2 linked regions of the Caenorhabditis elegans genome follow. The protein of the gene in region 1 interacts with the protein of each later gene in a pairwise test. Each region holds a gene or a part of one and is shown on either strand. Other genes may lie near its edges.

Evidence for each region.
Region 2: the proteins of tsp-17 (region 1) and dop-2 interact in a two-hybrid assay, tested with the Caenorhabditis elegans proteins (one study listed by BioGRID).

The regions. Positions count from the first base shown.
Region 1 is NC_003284.9:3,679,587-3,684,588, forward strand, and holds tsp-17 (Tetraspanin-17), read left to right. Parts: upstream 1-1,590; coding exon 1,591-1,659; intron 1,660-1,703; coding exon 1,704-1,808; intron 1,809-2,155; coding exon 2,156-2,260; intron 2,261-2,305; coding exon 2,306-2,380; intron 2,381-2,975; coding exon 2,976-3,077; intron 3,078-3,194; coding exon 3,195-3,308; intron 3,309-3,352; coding exon 3,353-3,562; intron 3,563-3,787; coding exon of another isoform or gene 3,788-3,997; intron 3,998-4,084; coding exon 4,085-4,168; intron 4,169-4,353; coding exon 4,354-4,428; downstream 4,429-5,002. Other genes in the region: Putative protein tag-278, read right to left, coding at 4,779-4,899, 4,951-5,002. UniProt on the Caenorhabditis elegans protein: Protects dopaminergic neurons against oxidative stress-induced neurodegeneration. May act partly via dopamine receptor dop-2 to negatively regulate dopamine reuptake transporter dat-1 activity.
Region 2 is NC_003283.11:9,606,823-9,614,583, forward strand, and holds the start of dop-2 (Dopamine receptor 2), read left to right. Parts: upstream 1-1,733; 5' UTR 1,734-1,757; coding exon 1,758-1,928; intron 1,929-2,407; coding exon 2,408-2,530; intron 2,531-2,584; exon of another isoform or gene 2,585-2,793; intron 2,794-3,672; coding exon 3,673-3,785; intron 3,786-3,998; coding exon 3,999-4,120; intron 4,121-4,174; coding exon 4,175-4,282; intron 4,283-4,332; coding exon 4,333-4,429; intron 4,430-4,474; coding exon 4,475-4,542; intron 4,543-5,143; coding exon 5,144-5,575; intron 5,576-5,909; coding exon 5,910-6,024; intron 6,025-6,470; coding exon 6,471-6,659; intron 6,660-6,705; coding exon 6,706-6,974; intron 6,975-7,019; coding exon 7,020-7,277; intron 7,278-7,364; coding exon 7,365-7,534; intron 7,535-7,610; coding exon 7,611-7,754; intron 7,755-7,761. UniProt on the Caenorhabditis elegans protein: G-protein coupled receptor which binds to the neurotransmitter dopamine with high affinity leading to the activation of an associated G-protein and downstream signaling pathways.

The sequences.
Region 1 (5,002 bases):
GTGATCAAAATAGGCAAAAAAACCAGATAATTTAAGAAAAGTCTTCATAATATTGTGGTTTTTTATAGATTTTTAGTCACCGTTTTAGGGAATCATTGAGGTTCCAGAAATTCAGTTTTTGTCAAGGATTAGAGCATTGGTGCATTTTTGGAACATAAATTTTTGAAACATAATCTTAGTAAAAAAAATTGTACAGAAGTTTTAGTCGAACATCGAGAATGTAATTAAACCAGTATGAAGATTTGTAAATAAATCTTTGAATTTTGGAAAGGCGACTCATAAACCTCAAAAAACTTCCAGCTCAGATTTTTTGTAGAAATATGTTTGTATTAAAGCAGGAAACACATTTTCAAAAGTTTTAGTCTTGGGTATTATTGGAACATATTTAAAATGCAAATTATGGAAAAAGTAAAGTGATTTTGCATGAGGCGGAAACAACCATTTCTAAGCCTTAAAAAAGGAAAAAAAAAAAGCAAAACACGATCAATTGAAATAGACCGAATTTGACAAATGAATGGAAATTTAATTTATTTCCAAAATGATAGTCTCATAGTCCACGAGGGCTTTCGAAATTAATTGAATATTTAAGTTTAGGGTACTTTTCATTTTCTACCCCGCATTTTAAAAGAACATTCAAACCATTGAATTATTCGAATTTTATGCTCACGTGAATGTTCATTTTAATACTATTTTCATTCTAAGGCTTAGAAAACAAAATTGCTAAGCATAAATTTTTAAAAGTAAATGTTCCAGAAAAATCTGGGGTAAAAAAGGAAATGTACCAAATTTAGTCCAAATAATGCCTACCGGTGAGCATGAATTCAGAAAGGGCACAGTTTTTCACCAATTCTGAATACTGTTTTGTTATCAATTTTCACTTATTTTTTTCAGGAGACCAACTTCTGCTTAAATTTCAAATTTTTTATAACTTGTAGCATTTTTCAGGAGTCCTTGCCCATCGCTTAACATTGTCGGCTAGTGCCAATGCAGTATTCCACCGTTCGACTTTATTTGTTCACAACGAAGAGATGATGCATAGTATGAGGTCAAGAATTTGTTTGCCAGGTAAATGCTCTCCTGTCTCTTCCTCTTTCTCTCCGGTCTACTCGTTTGCGTGTGCTGCGTGGCTCGTTGAATGGTCAGCTGTGATTTCAATTTATCAGTTGGCAACGCGGTCCGCCAGAGTTTCAAACGGCAAATAGATTCTTTAATCGCTGCGTGTGGCCGCCGAGTTATCTTGCTTCTTCCGGAAAGTTTAAAGTTTGATCGCTTCATTCACTAACGAAATTCTAAAATACTCAAATCTTATTTTTGCACCTGAGGAGAAAATGAATTATTTATGGCGCTTTCTTGCTAAAAATTTAACAAAATGCATTATTCTATATGTAGAATGTCATAATTTTGGTTCTTCAGATTTTCCTGCTTATGTTTACTTTCTTTTCACGTCTCGTATCTCTTACTATTTTCTCTGGGACAGTTAGATGCATTTTTTGAATATTCTGATATTTAACACCTTTTTGTTCTTTTGAAGCGTAATTTCTTATTCTTTTTTAACCTTACATTTTACTGAAAAATAATTTCAGGCAGTGCATGGCAACAGAACGTGATGGCGGTGGCTGCCTTCGGGTAGCTGTTTCAATTTTCTCAATATACTATTGGGTTTGTGCCTGAACATGTTAAGTAATTTTTTAACTTTCTTTCAGCTTTCTGCTCTCGGTCACGTGTTTCTTGGACTATGGATGCTTCTCGACCCGAAACGAAACTACATCTTGGATTTGGTACACTTTTCGGAAAATGATCCGTTATTGGTACGTGTTTTTCATAAATTTTGTAGATATTTAGAGTTTAATCTTTTTAGAGTTGATTTAGAGTTGAATAATTTCCAATTCTTGCCATAAAAATTTCCAGCCACAAAAATTTAATTTCAGCAAAATTTTAGCACTATAGTTTTTGAAAATTAGAAAATAACTTTTTACACAAAATTCCTACAAAAGAAAACAGGTGTACTTTACAGATAAAATGAAATGAATAAAACATTTTTTGAATTGAGTAAGCTATTTTATTTTTAATTTTTTTTTTTGAGTTTAGAACTGTTTAAATAATGACTATTTCTTGTAAATCGTCAAAAAATTTTTGAAACGTATTATTTTTGCAGAAGGCATCCGCATATGTCTCATTGGTTTGTGGATGCGCTCAGCTTCTTGTTGGATTTCTTGGCCTGTGTGGAGCAGTTAACAGGAGCAGATTCTTACTGTTAGCTGTAAGTTTGAAATTTTTAAAAAAGTAACTTTTAATTAATTTTCAGTTCGTCATGTTTTTAATTGGCACATTTTTGGCTGATGTTGCAATGGGAACTCTATCACTTTTCTATAAGGATAAAGTAAGTTGATATATGTCCTTTTTTGTGTTCGAGAATTAAAATTATTCATGAAAATTCGAATTCTTGCCGTTGCTGATATATGTGTGTATGTGAAAACCTATCGTTTGCATAACTTCTAGTTTAAAAATGTTTTAATTGAAAAATGTGTGTTGTACGAGACATTAGATACAATTGAGAAGAAAAAAAAAACTGAATTGAGATTTTCAAATTCACTTTTTTTCCAAATTGTTGTCTCTTGAAATTTGCTTCAAAAAAGGACGCAATAACCAAATATAGCAGTTGAAGAATCATAAATTAAAACAACATTATGATTTTCCAATTTTGCAAAAATTCAAATGGCTGAATTGTATTTGAATTCCAGCGCAAACGTTGTTCCTCAAATTTTCAGACACTTTTCCGTGAAAAAGTTAATTAACCCCAATTGGATTTCATTTAGTTTCTTAAATTGCTCTAAAAGTCGATAATTTAATGTTTATTCAGTTTTTTTTAAACTGCAGATTTTTTATCATTTAAAAGAACATTCTCTACGAACAATTCCTTTAAATTACGGTTTTTGTCTAAACCTGTTAATTTTCAACGCATGTTACTTTTGCAGTTTTCTAACAATTACATGGGAGTGTATCTGAAGAACCTAACATACAACCGTTACTCACGAGATCGTTGGGTTCTGCCGTTGATGGATACTATTCAATTTTATGTGAGTATTTTGTTTATGGTAGATTTTAAAATTTCAAAAGTGCCAGCGTCTCCTTGTCTTCTTGTCATCGTAAATTTTGAATTGAATTATTGAATTATTGAATTATCAATCTTTAAGGTGTATTCGGTAAAAGAAAATGTGCGCGAAATCGTAAAATCCAAATATGGAGTGATGACTAGCGAACCTGAAAATAAGATGGTCACTGAATTCATTGACAAACTTCAATTTTATGTAAGCTCCAAATTTTTTCGAACTGAATAAAACTCTCAAATTAGGAAAAATGTTGTGGCTCGCTGGGTCCCACCGACTATATCAGCAGCCGATGGTCTCAATCGACAAATCAAGACTCGGAAGAGATCGAGTCCCCTCTGTTTCCGGTCTCATGTTGTACACAAATAACGGGCGCATCGGCATTAAACCCGCTCGCTAAAAGTTATGCTCGCTGCCAGCAAATTGGTGCCAATAGACAATGGAGACACGCAGTGGTAAGGATCCCCTGTTGAGTGCAAAGTGCGCCCCATTGAAGTTTCGTTTTGATGTAATGCCTCCCCGGGCGTTCAAAGATCCCGACTAATGAGTGAAGTGATTTGAGCTAAGAGTGATTGAGTGTAAAGGTGTGACAAAGAGGCCAAGGAAGACAAGACGATGGTGTCACATTCATCAATTTGATAAAATTGTTCTTCAATTTTTGTGAAATGAAAGAGATTTAGCACCAATGTTGCGGGGGAGAAGGTCCCCTGGACTACAAGGATTCGTTCTGGTACATTACTAACACGTTGCGTGGAACTCGATCGTTTGTCCCGCCAAGTTGTTGCAAGCAAGCTCAAGTTGGAAGAGCATGGGCACCGGTTCCCATTGACCCGATGTGCACAACATATCGCTACCTTACCACGGCATTTGACACATCTGTAAACACTGTTGTGAGTGTGTATTATGTTTTCTTGCTGGTGTGATTGTTGTGCTAATATTAAAGTTTTTAATTTATTTCTAAAGAAATGAGTTTTCAGGGGTGTAGTGAAAGACTAATGTCGTGGTTCAACGAGCAAATTTGGATATTCGTAGGATTTGGATTCGGTTCTGCACTGACCATGGTAAGGGAGGGTCAGACATTTGTTTCGGCATTTGAAAAAAAATCACATGTTTCACTAGATATAGAAGTTCTTACATGTATAAATTGTAAAATGATAGCCAAAAAAACAAATTAAAAAATTCATACCTTTCCGAGAAATACATCCCAATATCCAAAAAAAAAACTGTTTTAAATATTTATTTTCAGATGCTTGGAATTTGCCTCTCATGTTGTCTCATCTCGAAAATTCGCATTTACCATGTAATTCGAGATGACTACTAAATCACTCTACGGTGAATTAAATTTTCATATCAAACAGGGTACACTTATTACTACGCATTCTACATTGATTATTCCTCAAACTTCTTTCATTCTTTGAATATTTTTAATATCTTCACCATCTTGCCTAAACTTTGTCAATTTTTAGTTTTATTCTTCCTGTGGAACCATTTTATATTTAAAATCTGAAGTTATTAATCAATTAATAAATCATTCATTGCAAGCACTGACCAACGTCACAGCTCTACAAAAAGTGAAGATATTATGCCATGATCTGTAGAGCGCAAGAAATATACAGGTAATTAAAATGTTCGAATGACAAATTAAAAAGGACTGAGAACATATATTAGTGATTAAAATTTCCACGCCGGTCGCTTTTCGGAGGACGAATCTTTCTTAGTTCGGCTGAACAATTGTTGCGATGGTGAGCTTCGCTCCATGCGTTTTTCTGCGTCAAATGGAGAAAGTAGATTTCTGAAAGTAACAATTGATTGTCAAATAGTGTTTGAATTAAATAATAAGAACCTGCTAGAAGAAGATGGAGTCGATTCGAGGTTGTCCGACTTCGATTTCGCTG
Region 2 (7,761 bases), on another chromosome or scaffold:
TGGAAAGAATACATTTCATTTTGAAACATACAGTTTTGTATATAATTTCGTAGATTGAATAAGCTTCCTGACCATAGACAAAAATCTCCGATACAACTTTGTGGTTACTAATTTAGAGTTAAATTAGTTTAGCTCCCTATTAGTATTCTCTAGTTACTTCCAACTATACAGCTTCGTTGCCTAATTGTCAAAATTTTTATGAGAACTATCTAAGCATTGACGTAGGTTTCATTAACTTGTTAACTCACGGTTGTATGAAACAAATTTCAGTTTTTAAAGTGTTTTCGATGTTTCTAACATTTCTTTCAAGAAACCCCATATTTTTGTTTGATCCGTGCACTAGATTAAAAAAAAAACCTTTACACTTTGGCTTTTTTCTGTTTTCATATAAATTTGATCTTGCTTTTTTACACTAGAGGTCCGAAAAAGTAACACCCAATTTAGAAAAATAGCCAAAACAGGAGGAACGGCTCGCAATTTATGTGCATTTTTTTGTGTCAACTCCACCCCAAGGCTTCTTCTTCTGCTACTTCTACATCTCTACGCCTGTCCTCCGCCCATCTCAAAGTTCGTTTATGTCTTGGGGACCGCATTTTCTCCGCCCCTTTACTCTTCGTTTTTTCTTTATTTAGTAAAGAAGAGATGTGGAAAAGATATTCATACTTTCCTTCCGTCTAAAATTCAACTGGCTTCTGAAGGTTTCTGCTCAGTCTAGGGCCACTTTTAATAGTTCACAAATAAACTATTGTTCAGTCTTGACAGAAGAAAAACATTCAATGACCTTAACTTTATTCCTTATTTTTGTCATTAGACATCTCGCACTTTGCTCTTTACTTCCTTGCCTATTTTCAAAAGACAACTCATCGTTGGACCCTTACCCCCCGAGATTCAAAAATTGAATATTCAATTGATGTGAAAGAAATCATCTGGGCTACCAGAGACGTGCCTCCTGGATTTCTTCTCTTTCTTGATAGATTTGGAGACATGAACCCCATCATTGCCAGACCTGCACTTTTAATTTTTTTTTCTTATTGGTGATTTTTGGGCTGCAATAACCTCAAAAACTATTTTTTTTTAAATGTTTGAAGGTCTTCCAAAATATTCATGACAGAAATACAATTGTTCGTGTTGGTTAATGTGCTGAAAGTCTATGTACAACTTTTGTAATTTCCACAATGACAACTTTTTTTCGTAGCTAAATTTCACATTTTGTGTGACTTCCCAACTTAATTTTATTATTTGTTGATCACTGATTTAGGATTAAGAGTAAGCTTAATGTGTGCTTTGTGTTAGAAATTTTAAATATTTTTAAAGATTTTACTTTAAGAGAGAATAATGATGTTTTTCAATGTTTAGTATTGATGTATCAAATACATTACGTTGACAGTCATCTGAGCATTGGTAAAGAATTTCAAACTTTGAGCGAAACACTTAGAACTTTCCAAGCAAATTATATTTTTCTAACTCTTCAGATTCTTTCTGTTATCGAGTCTAAAAAACTTCAAAATTCAATTCCATTTTTGAAGTGTTCCGTGCCTTTTTTAGTTTTAAAACATTCTGAGAAACTAAAATCTATTACGTTTCAGAAAGTAGGACCATTTGTAGAACTACTTACAGCAAAAAAACACTTGAAAATTTTTGTTCTTTACATTTTAGCATTAATCCTTGGAACACCTTTGTTTTTACCTTCTTCAAACCGTCTTGTTGGCTTAAAAAATGTAATAAAAAACTGTTTTAAGGTGATCCAACTCCAAAAAATGGAGGCCGGAGAGACATGGAATGTCTCCCTTGAATGGCCTCCACCCTCTCTTGATCTTTCAACAATCACACAAACACCATCAACGATAGTCGGAAGTGGAATTCCTTTGAACTACGCTGGACTTTCTCTTATTGTTATTCCACTCATCACGCTACTTGGAAACCTTCTGGTTAGTTAGAGTTCAATTGTCAGTTAAAAAATATATACAACTGTGTAATGTTACAGATAAAACTACTTGTTGATGTTTTTGATAAGAATGAAATCTTGAAAAATAAGAAATGTATCTTGATAGTCTAAAATTATCAAAGAAGAAAAAAAAATTTTGTCTCAAAACCCAGAAATTAGGGAGAAATCAGAAAACTTTTTTTTTTTCAAAAAATCGAAACATCAAACAACGAGTTCTTTTGTGCCTCAGTTCGTCTGACATTTAAAATCAATATGCCAAGATACTTCTTAAATTATCTTCGAAACGGTATCAAAATATTATTCAAAATTTGTGAACAAAGAACGATTCCTTGCGATTCTGGAGCAATGTCTTATAGATGTTCGTGTGAAACTCAGTTCCTCACATTTATTGTACATTTGGTTCAATTTCAAACTCCAAAGCACGTTCCAAAATAATAATAAAAAAGTATATTTTCTTTTCAGGTAATAATATCAGTACTCCGGTACCGAGCACTGCAATCAGCCATCAATTTCCTTATCCTAGGCCTGGCTGTGGCGGATCTTTTGGTGGCCATCATAGTTATGCCATACGCGGTTTATGTATATGTAAGTGATCAATTATATGTCTTTTGTTGGCAACCACAGCAACAGCTCTCCATAGCAGCATAGGCTCCCAATCTGCGTTTTCCTGAAGTGACGTGCTGTTCCACCTCTCTCTCTCTCTCTTTGCCTAACAAGGGAAACCGAGGTTGAGAAAAAACGAGAAAAGAGACATCAGCGACCAAGAGCAGTAATTTGTTGAGTGTCTCTCACAAGAGCTCCCGAGCTTTGCTCACACAGATTTATGGTTGTTTTCTGACGGTTGCCACGTCATAAGTTTTGGTAACTAGCTAACTAGTTGCAAACGTTGAAAGTCTCGTTGCATTTATAAATAGTACTAGAACACGTTGAAAATGAAAAAGAAAAGAACATCAAAGAGAAGAGACAAGACATGAAGCTGGTTGATGTAATCCCCTGACAGCTATCACATAACTCTATTGATGGACAGAGTGCCAAACGATACTTCTTTGTTAAGTTCCGTAGGTTTTCCCGTTGAAACAGAACTCTGCAAACTGACTTGACTTAAAAAGAATAGAAAAAGGGGCATGATGATGGATGGTACAAGGAGCGTGTGCGTGTGTGTGTGTGACGTGGAAATGAAGCCCAGTGGGGTGGAAAAGGGGAAAGAACGTGGTGTGAAAAGTGTCAAATTAGATGCACGGAAAGCCGTATTTATTGCTTCCTAGATCCTTCCAACCACGAAGGCTTTTCCTTTTTTTCCGGTAGATTAGAGAAAGCGTCAGGAGTGAAGAATAATGGAGAATTAGGGTAATGCGTATCAGATTCTGCAGAAAAAAGCAATTGAATAATAGACTTTGAAATTGTGTTTCAGTTGGGAAATTTCCATCGACAGTATAAATGAACACCATAATTACTATTGTAGTACAAAAACTAAAAATACCATATATTCTATTTTAGTGCTGCATCGCACTATTCCATTTTGGAAAGGTATATCTCGGTTTATTTTGAAGATATCAAAAATTACTGTTCTACAAAACTATAGAAAAAGAATTCAAAATGATTTATTCATTTGACAATTTTTAATAAAAGAAAAGATAACCGAAAGTAGTCAAAGCAATGGTGTACAGAAGTAAAGAATATACGTTATTCGTTTTTTCAACTGTCCATTAATTTTCCCTAATTTGCAGGTCACCAACGGCGACTGGTATCTAGGAAATCTAATGTGTGACATTTACATGGCATCTGATGTGTGCTGTAGCACAGCTTCTATTCTTCTTCTTGCCGTAATTTCATTCGATCGGTGAGTCGGGAGTTTCGAGTCATCTGAATAGAAAATGAACGTGTGGCTGTTATTCAACCAACCATTTTTTCTTTGTACTCATTTTTTGCATTCAGAATATGACGGGGAACAGCAAAGATCGTGGGAAAAATGTTAAGAGCATAAATCTAAGTATTTTGCTAAAATAAAAATGCACAGTTTTCTACAAAAAACTGAACTGTTCAATTATTTCAGATACCGTGCAGTCTCTTTACCAATTCAGTATTCAAGACAGTCACAAAATGTGAAACGGGTATGGACATTGATAGCTGTTATATGGTTGGTCAGCCTAACATTAGCCAGTCCAATGGTTTTTGGTTAGTTTCATACATATATCCTTTTAAAAAAAATCAAACTCTTCTGAATTGAAGGAGTAAACGTTCGTCCACCAGATGCTAACCCATACGAGTGTCGATTCTACAATGCTGAGTTTTCGATCCTCAGTTCTATGATCTCGTTTGTTATTCCTTGTTTTCTAGGTAAATTGAAAAGCCAAAAATGGTTTATTAAAATAGCTTCCCCGTTTCAGTACTTTTCGTCTATATTCGAATTATAATTGCTCTAAAAAAACGAGAAAAGGCAGCTAAAATGAGGAGAGAGAAGAACACAATTGCGCACGGTTTAACGTAAGATTTATTTGTTTACAATATTTGAAAATATTGAAATTACAGAATGAGGCCTGATACAGGCGAAGAGCAAGTTGACGAAGAAGCTGCAGGGCGTATTGTTGCTGGACCAGGTTAGTTTTCAAGTTTTTGTAAGATTGCATTCAGATGAGCGCACAAAAATTGACTAGGCTTTGATACTTTTTTAAGATTCATAGAAATTTCATAGAGAAGTGAAGTGAATTTTTCTCTTGAGTCGTATAACATAATTTATTTACTGATTTAACCTTTTTGCTTACAGTAATCTTATCGTAGCTTTTTGTGCAGCAGCGAAAACAGTTTCTGTGATTTTTCTTCTTTTCTATTAGTTTCAGATTAAAGCTTTAAATATTATATTTCAATGTCTTTCTCACGTTCTTTTTTTTTCAATTTTACTTCTCTCCTTCCACCTATTTTTTAAATTTTAGCAGTTTAGAATGAAAACTTTAACACATATGCACAATTTCCAACATTAACTACAAGACGAATTGAAAAGTTTTGAGACACACAACTTGGAAACTTATACCTTCCCCTAATATAGCTCAGTTTTGATACGATTTTCCCAAATTCCCTAGACATTTTTTAATTTCCGTTGAAAGTCGTTCATTTTTCAATCCTACATCAGCTCGAGCTAATTTAAGTTCTAGTCTTTCCTCTAAAATTATACTTTCCCTACACGTGTTTCGTCGTTTCCAGTGGTGAATGTCATGATGGCTGCTCTACCATCAATGACTCGTCGGATGAGACAATTCGAACGACATCGTCGCGCAATTGAACTCGCAGGTGATGAAGAATGGGAGGAAGATGAGCTGGACGTTATGGATGAGTGTTGTGGGGGTGACGATGCCGGTGACGATGATGATGATTATCATGCTGATAATGGACAGGGCGTCGTTGAGGCATCGGCACCTCGTACCACTTCCATGCTCCGAAGGATCATAAACGCAGCGTCTGTCGGAACAGCAAACTCGACTGCGCAGAGTGTTGCTTCAGCGTCCGGCATGCCTGCCTTCTTCGCCCAAAATATTTCCACCACCTCTCCGTCTTCTTCTTCGTGTGCTCGTACAACTACTACTACTTCTGCAATACCGAAGGCATCCGGTGATCTACCACTTCCTATGCTCCTGAGTATGTCGGAATTCATATATTCACATGTACTATCAACAGCACCGTTTCCTCATTTCTGCACAGACTATTGCACAACACGCTTCTACCACTTTCACTGATTTCTTATGTTCTTTCATTTTCCAGCTTCTCACTCACTATCACCTCAAGCTTGCAGAACGTTAGTTGCATGATTCATTATAGATAAAAAATGAAATATGGATATTTATTTGGAAAATAAAAATGTTTGCAGTGAAAACTAGCACGAAAGTTAACTCAGCTTGAGCATTTGGGAATTGCGTTGAGCATGATTTATATATTGTATTCCTTGAAAATATTCAACACAGTTTGGTTTCAGATGAAAGAGAATTTGGAAATAGTTCGACACCACGATCAAGTCTTGAATCACTTTCGGAAAATGTCAACGTGATTACAAATGATTTTGTGTCGGAGAATTGCACCACATTTTCAAGGTATGCATTGAAAATTTTACGAATATTTTAAATTTCGTCTCAAATGGACACTAAATTGCGCATCGATTGCTACTATTTTCGTAAAAATTTTGTAAAAATGTGAAAATATGCCACTAGAATGCAATTTATTCCAGAATATCTTTTTTCGAATTTTTTTCAGGGTTATTAGTACTTTTAATAACTAACTTTCTTGTGGCGACCCCTAAAAAACCACGCGCTTTTGGAAACACCATAAAATACTGCAAAATTACGGTAAAAACTACGTAGTAGCGAATTTGCAATAAATACATGAGAATAATTACACGAGAAGTGAAAGTGGTTTAGTTTTTCAACTTTTAAACCTATTTTTCACAATAGCTGTTGAACTTTTGTTGTCTGAAAATGTATTATTTTTGACTGAAGTATAACATATGTTTCTTCCCATATTTACTGATTAATTTTTTCAGAAGATCGTCATATGCTGACGACTCCCAACCAACATCGTCTCAAACTTCATCCGGAGATGGTCGAAGTTACAGTATCAAAGGACAAAAAAGATTTAGAAATTTGTCAAGAAACTATTCAACAAAACATCATAGAAAAGTAGTGAAAGTGAATAGAGGCAATTCTAGAAATAATTCAAGAACAGCATCAATGTAAGTATAGAGTTTGTTTGAAAATTTAATGAAATTCTGTTTGCAGAACAAATCAATCAGATGATGCATTGATTCCTGCAATTATTCGAACAATCTCTAGAAAAAGTCCCCGTTTATTCCGAAGAGATAAGACTGATATTAAAAAACATTCGATGATATTAGCCAATCCAATAACTGAACCTCCAAAGGAATACCGACGAGTATCAATGCCAATTCATCCAACAAATTCACAAACTGAAACTGAAACTATTTCTGCATCACGAGATATTGAAAATCTTCCCACTACGACAATTAGCAGAAGTACGACGGCAAATAGTGAGAATTATAAAGAATTTTGAAGAAAATTTATTTGTTTTTCAGGCGCAGAACTACTTGGATCACCAGATGATTTTGAAAAGTTTCCAGCGTTGATTACTGAAACAGTTTTAGAAGATGTATTAGCTGAAACAAGAGAAGGATGTTTTATGCAACCGACTGTTAGTTTTGCATTAACAGTTAGAGAAATGGAAGGAAATGCTTTGAATAATTTAAAAGGATGCAGTGTTGAATCGAGTCGACGTGTTTCGCAAGTTGATCCTCCCTTGGCCATTCAAATATTAACAAGACCCAGTTTACCACGTAAGTTTTTGAAATTCTTTTTTACATCAAAATATGTTTTTTTATTACATCAAAAAATGTTTTTTGAAACACTTCCGTACTTTGCAGATCTTGACCTCCAACGAATGGATTCAATTGGCACTACATGCTCATCAAAAACACGTGCCGATAGCTTAAGGTCCGTCGACTCGAAAGGCTCAAAGAAAAGCAATCGAAATGGGATTGCTGTCAAGTTGGTCAAGAGGGCTATCAAGCATGAGCATAGTTTGAAGAGGAAGGTAGGCGGATTTCACTTTATTCAGAAAGACATTCCAACTTTTTAGTGAAAAAGGGGTTTAAACACACAATTTCCAGGTCTCAAAAGCACAACGTAAAGAGAAACGAGCCACAAAGACATTGGGTGTTGTTGTTGGAGTATTTCTTGTGTGCTGGGTTCCATTCTTTGTTATTAATATTTTGAATGCAGTTTGCATTTTGCTCAATAAAGATTCGTGTCAGGTAAATG